2 linked regions of the Kluyveromyces lactis genome follow. Each later gene encodes a partner of the first gene's protein in a complex. Links are inferred from orthologs where the notes say so. Each region holds a gene or a part of one and is shown in the gene's direction. Other genes may lie near its edges. The genes, in order: SAC1 and VPS74.

Region 1 (3,878 bases):
TTATTATCGCTACCGGCAGATGAAACAACGTCTCCGACTTTACTCCAAGAACCTCCCGTGAACTGATGTGCCTCTATAACACCATTCTCATTCTTGACAACAACAATCTGACCCTCCTTTTCACCCGGCTTCTGAAGCACTGACGATGGTTTCAACTTCGATTCGTCAAACCCCATCGTCTGTGCGTTAACGGCAGATTCCTCCACTTGTTTTTGCAAAGATGTGATCTCTTCCTGGGATGCAAGTCTTTGCTCATTCTCAGTAAAGATTCTGATGATTTTGTCACTGCTACCAACAACAATATCGCCATTGGGTAACACATCGACGGTCCAAATGGAGATCGCTGGTAAAGTAATGACTTGTTTGATAGTTCCATCCATGTTCCAAATACGAACGGTTCTATCCTCACCACAAGACACAATATCTCCGCTTGGCAGTTGTTTCACAGCATAGACAAAGCTTTCATGACCTATAAACTCGTGCAAAATACCGCCTTCCAAGTTGGATAGCTTCAAAGTACCATCGTTGGAACAACTAACAAAATGCTTTCCATCGTCAAGAATACATATATTTCTAACCACATCGGAATGTAACTTATCAAAAGTCTTAGCCAGCGTACCATTTTTCCATAACTTAACTGTAGTATCTGCTGACGCTGTAAGGACGCTCCCATCGTTCAAGAGCTTGGCATCCCATACAGAGGCCGAATGTCCCTTAAGTTCCCATTTTACAATCCCATTAGTCCACACTTTAGCAGTCTTGTCCCAAGAGGAGCTCACTAGGCTTTCAAAGTCTCCAGAAAGTGAGCAAATGTTCCCCTCATGGCCTACTAAAGTATAAACCGGTTCTTGCCCCAGAGCAAGCAACGGAGACACACCGTAAATAATCTTTTCTTGGCCACCGCAAAATAGAACACACTGCTTAGCATCGTACGTCAAACTGTTCACAAACTTTTCACTGCTAAACGCAATAGAACCTTCCCAATTCCCATCCGCATCCAAATTCCATATCCTAACTGTACCATCTCTAGAGGCACTTGCCACCTGAGTCGTACTTAAAGAAACCACACTCCTCACGTCCTGTGTGTGACCACGCAATTGTGCGCTAAGTTGGTACATCTCTCACTTAAAATTGGTACCAGTACAATTACAACTATTAGACCTATCAAATAAAATCACCTGAACCTGATTAAAATACTTTGTATACTTGGAAAGCCCTGTTTTATTCAGTAGTTGCTCTTTCCCACGCTAATACCTTTATTTTTGACATTCGCTTAGTTGTTTAAATCAAACTTTCGAAATAAACAAATTCAGTTACGCAACTTTATCATGAATTAGTTTATCAAGTACACGAGACACGCCAACAGAGGATCCAATTGTACCTGAATTTGCTGAATCGTATTCAATTCAGTGCTCTGAGAATCTCCTTAGAAAATGAGAGGTCCGTTACTTGTGTGCCAGGAGAAGGATAGGGTCCTGTTAAAGGTAGCCAGTTCTTCTTCGAAGAACGACGCGGTTCTAAATGTGTCAACACACGAGAACGAGGTGAACGTTTTGGGCAGTACTGAGTTTCCTGTTCGTGGAAATATCATGAAGGTGGCTGCGTTGATCGGTATCATCAAGTTGAAGTTCGGTAAGTACGTGATTATTGCCAATAGAGTCGAGGAAGCTGGTTGTTTGAACGGTCATAATGTGTACAAGGTGGCTGAGCACACGATTATCAGCGTTGATAAGAAGCAGAGACCAGATTCTGATGAGTCTCAGTATTTGCAGTTATTGGAACAGCATTTAGCTGGTGCGACTCTGTTCTATTCGTATGGTTACGATTTGACAAACAGTGCTCAAAGGAACGAAGAACTAGAGTCATCAGCTGTGTCGTGGGAACAAGCGGACAGGAGGTTCTTTTGGAACTATTACGTGACAGAATCCTTGCAGAAGCTTGCTAAAGTTGATGACAGGGTATCAGACTTCATTATTCCTATGATCTATGGGTATGCTAAGGTTGTTGATACTGTTTTCCATGCGACTCCGATTTCGATTGGATTGATCACGAGAAGGAGTATATTTAGGGCCGGAACTAGATATTTCCGCAGAGGCATTGACGAACACGGTAATGTTGGTAACTTCAACGAGACAGAGCAGGTGCTGTGTGTTCAAAAGCCAATGAAGGATGGCTATCACTTCTTCTCTTTTTTACAAACGAGGGGTTCCGTGCCAGTTTATTGGGCAGAGTTGAACAATTTAAAGTACAAGCCGAACTTGTTGTTGGCTGAGAACAGCTCGTTAGATGCAACCAAGAAGCATTTCGATGAACAAACTCGGTTGTACAATGAAAACTATTTGGTGAATCTAGTCAATCAAAAGGGACACGAATTACCTGTGAAGGAAGCTTACGAACAGGTTGTTACTGCCTTAAATGACCCAAAGCTTCACTATATCTACTTCGATTTCCATCACGAATGTAGGAATATGCAATGGCACAAGGTCAAATTGTTATTGGATCATTTGCAATCAATGGGCTTGTCCAATAAAGATTTCTTCCACAAGACTTTGGATGCTAATGGTGTTACACTGCAAGTTTTCTCCAAGCAGCAATCGGTGGTTAGAACTAACTGTATGGATTGCCTGGACAGAACTAATGTGGTTCAATCCGTGTTAGCTCATTGGGTGTTACAAGAAGAGTTTAAGACTGTTGGATTGACCGACGATACCGGCTTATGGGAATTAGACAAGAACTTGTTGTTTGAATTCCAAAGCTTTTGGGCAGATAACGCAGACGCTGTCAGTGTTGCTTATTCAGGTACTGGGGCATTGAAGACCGATTTCACTAGAACTGGCAAACGTACTTACCTAGGTGCTATAAAGGATGGTATTAACTCTATTTCTCGTTACTATCAAAACAATTTGACAGATGGCCCAAGGGAAGATGCATTCGATTTGTTCCTGGGAAATTTCAGACCTTACGCAAGTGTGGTCCATTCACCATTCCCAGATAGAAGACCAATGCTAATTCAAGCGGTTCCTACCATGATCTACGCTGCCCTCACAGTTATGATGGCAACTATACTTTTCCCCAAGAATCATTTCACAAGTGCGAAGAATCTATCTTTCTTTTTCGGATCCTTCAGTATTGTTGTCTTATGCACACATTTCGTATTTAAGAGGGGTATTCAATATGTGAACTGGCCAAAGTTAGTCGATTTAGGGTATTTGATTGCTGAGCACACGCATAACAAGGAGAAACAATTCAAAGGTGTTAGATACGTTCCTGATCCAAAGTTCGTTAAACCAAATTCCTTCAAGAGGGACTAGCATTGAACATTCCTTAATGTATAGAGCTTTCATTTTCATGTTTATTTACTCCATGACGTTTCTACTTTTATGACTTCTTCTTCCCAGTTTTAATGTTCGATACCTTTTGAATTTATAGTATCTGTATCATTCTTACTTTAACGTCTATATCTAAAATTACAGAAATACAATCATTACAAGTTGGTGGATACATACATAACGAAGGATGAAATGGACTGGTATCATTAGTTGATTAGCTCCTCGATGAATTTATTTACAGATTCAGCTCTCATGAGAGCTTCTCCAACAAGAACACCATGAACACCTTCCTTTTTATATTGATCAGCATCAGCTGCTATTGTTATTCCAGATAAAGCAATTAGTAGGGTTCCCTCTGGTACAGAACTGACCAATTTTGAGGTAGTACTCAAATCTACGTTGAAAGAGTGCAAGTCTCTGTTATTAACTCCGATCACTCTTGATCCAATTGCCAACGCACGTTTTAGTTCTTCTGCGGAGTTTACTTCCACTAGAGGTTCTAAATCCAAACTTTTTGCATAATCGTACAGTTCCTTCAACAAGTTGTCG
Region 2 (2,965 bases), on another chromosome or scaffold:
ATGTATAGGTAACGTCTTGGCTCAGCTTGAGATTGCTTCAGAACCTTTGAGCTTGGAAGACGACTTGGAACAGAATGATCTTGTCAAACAGTTGTTTTACGGTAGAATTAAACAGGACTTGATACCAGTCAATGATGAGGCTTCTGTCCGGACAAAATATGAAAGGTTTTTATCCTTATTGGTTAACACCGGTGACCATCCAAAGGATATTTATGATGCTTTAGATTTTTACTTTCAGAATGACTATTTGAATTTGGAGGAGTATGGTGATGTAAAGAGAACTGTATCTATCTCAGAGTTACCTGCGGTTCTACAAATTCAAATCCAGAGAGTCTATTATGATAGAGAAAAATTCATGCCTTTCAAGTCTATCGAGCCGCTACCTTTCGGCGAAACGTTGTACATGGATAGATATATGGCTACCGAGGATCCAAAACTATTAGCAGAAATTCAACAAAACGCAGAATTGAAACAGAAACTTCAAGACTTAAAGCAAAGACAGAGGAAACTACTCTCACAGAACGAAATAGGATTAACTTTAAAATCCTCGCTCATTGAGACCAAAAAGTTCTTACAGTCCGGTACCTTGAAAGCGCACGATATTGATGCGGACAATATCCCCTCATCGATCGCCTACATTGATATTTTAATCAATAACATAGACGAGGAACTAAAGAGCTTATTCAACAAAATTACAGATCTAGAGACAACTATTTCCCAACAGTTCAGCGAATTCAAACATATCGGCTATTCTTTATTCGCCGTTTTCATTCATCGTGGTGAAGCAAGTTACGGCCATTACTGGGTCTATATTAAAGATCACACCAAAAATGGTATCTGGAGGAAGTATAATGATGACTCAGTTACAGAGGTGCCACAATCGGAAGTATTCAACTTCACGGAGGGTAATACGGCCACTCCATACTTTTTGGTCTACGTCCGTGAAGGTCAAGAACAAGAAACTATCGAACCATTGAAACGAATTCTTCAACAACAGGAGTAACCCGTGTCGCTCTTAAAGTGGCATAAATATGATTTACATTATATTAATTAAAAGATAGATCAGTATGTAATGCAGGAATTGGTAAAATTTATAAGATCTGGCGTTCAGTTAGGCTTACTGTGCGGATACTATCTTCGATTCAATATCCACATGTGAGGGTAAATTGATTTTCGCAAGGCAGGCAGGAGTTCTTAATTAGTTAGTTACCTTGATCTAATTTGAAAAAAAAAAACATCAAAATGAAAAATAACTAACTGATTTTGATCAAACCTAGTTTATATCTATGGTGAATGATTTTAAAGATTTACTCTTCGTGTCACAATTGGCTTTAAGTCATTAGGTTTGACTTGAAGGTAGGATTGGAATTCTGTTATCCGACAATTGGACTGTGACTTGTCAAGAAGTGAACTTGCAAAGTTGCACGCCGAAAAAATAGGGTAAAAATTCATCATGTCTTTACAGCGTCGCCGAGTTAATAAAGGTGATACAACGGAATCAATCCCTCAAATAGATAATGAGCATGATCATAAGATTGTATATGACGAGCAAGAGGCGAAACTAAGGGACAACACTAGTGTTCCTAAGTTGACCTTAATGGAGGAAGTTTTGTTGATGGGACTAAAGGATAAACAGGGATATTTATCATTCTGGAACGATAATATCTCGTACGCCCTACGTGGGTGCATCTTGATAGAACTAGCGTTACGAGGTAAGATTAGATGTGTTGATGATCCAGCAAGAAAGAGATACGATGTCAGTGAGAGATTAATTGAAGTCATAGACGGAAGTAAAACTGGCGAGGTCTTACTTGATGAAAGTTTATCTTTAATGAAGAACGATCCACCAACTTCAATTGTCGGATGGATTGACCTACTTAGTGGCGAGACTTGGAATCTCCTAAAGATCAATTATCAATTGAAACAAGTTAGGGAAAGATTAGCAAAGGGATTGGTTGACAAAGGTGTTTTGAGAACTGAAATGAAGAACTTCTTTTTGTTTGACATGGCCACACACCCGATCACTGATACAACTTGCAAGGAATCTATTAAAAGAAGAATACTATCGATACTGGTTTCAAGGAATGCTGAATTGACTTATAATACCTATTTCCCACAAGATGTTTCCTTTAAATATATTAGAACCTTGTCTTTAATCTGTGGTGCTTATGGTGCTAATGTTCTAGAAAATGTCTTGGCTACCTTAGATTACGAAGTGAGAGATACAGGGTTTGCTCGTGCGGATGAAATTCTAGCTCAATTTTCAGAATTTCCGTTCCCACTCGATAAACAAACAAGCACCGGTGTTTCAGTGAACTTAAATAAAGAGATTTCACAGGAATTAAATAATCATCCGGGTTCAGATTTGCAACTTGAAGTTGTTGCTGGAGTTTTTGAGGTCTTTTCACGTATGGACACATTGTTATAAAGTCCATAGTATTATGATTCGAAGAACAGTGTGGATCATTCACATATATATATATACTTGTATCTCAAAAATTCTACGGACAATATCCGACTAGTTCTAAATCACAATGTAAACTCGATTTGAGCACAAATTCCATTACTTGGTAATGATATTCATTCATTGAAATCTGATATGAAAGGCTGAAGTTAGAGCTTCTGGAAAAGACTTGAAATATAATCCTTGGGGTACTTTTGTAAATGAAATTGCTTTACTTTATCGCTTTTGAACAATGATACAAAGCCTTCAGACAGGCCAATTTCCTTACTAAATGCGTTAACTAGTGACTTCCTGGGGTCTTTGGAATCCCCACAAGATTCCCACCAAAATCCACCGTTCAAGTTTTTCTTCTTGATGTATTTTCCCTTGATATCCATGGATTGAACATTGTCATACCCCACAAATGTTCTGGATTTAGGATCAAAGCAGTAAGCTGAGACTGCATTTGAGTCAAACTGTTCCTTGCTACCATCGATCGGTAGTTGATTATATAACCAAATC

What was found.
Region 2: the proteins of SAC1 (region 1) and VPS74 are in contact, whole or in part, in a crystal structure (PDB 4TU3), measured with the Saccharomyces cerevisiae proteins. The link is inferred for Kluyveromyces lactis from reciprocal best matches to the Saccharomyces cerevisiae genes SAC1 and VPS74. Residues at the interface, in NP_012710.1 of Saccharomyces cerevisiae: Gln9, Tyr69, Ile95, Ser97, Thr98, Lys99, Phe100, Asn101, Ser102, Arg103, Ile104, Ile112, Glu116, Lys120; in NP_010660.1 of Saccharomyces cerevisiae: Ser164, Gly165, Glu166, Thr167, Trp168, Asn169, Leu170, Leu171, Lys172, Ile173, Gln176.

Annotation. Positions count from the first base shown.
Region 1 is NC_006038.1:1,261,856-1,265,733, reverse strand, and holds SAC1 (phosphatidylinositol-3-phosphatase SAC1), read left to right. Parts: upstream 1-1,433; coding exon 1,434-3,311; downstream 3,312-3,878. Other genes in the region: DOA1 (Doa1p), read right to left, coding at 1-1,118; TRP3 (bifunctional anthranilate synthase/indole-3-glycerol-phosphate synthase), read right to left, coding at 3,536-3,878. UniProt on the Saccharomyces cerevisiae protein: Phosphoinositide phosphatase which catalyzes the hydrolysis of phosphatidylinositol 3-phosphate (PtdIns(3)P) and phosphatidylinositol 4-phosphate (PtdIns(4)P). Has low activity towards phosphatidylinositol-3,5-bisphosphate (PtdIns(3,5)P2).
Region 2 is NC_006041.1:216,685-219,649, reverse strand, and holds VPS74 (Vps74p), read left to right. Parts: upstream 1-1,453; coding exon 1,454-2,428; downstream 2,429-2,965. Other genes in the region: ubiquitin-specific protease UBP2, read left to right, coding at 1-1,003; CTS2 (putative chitinase), read right to left, coding at 2,614-2,965.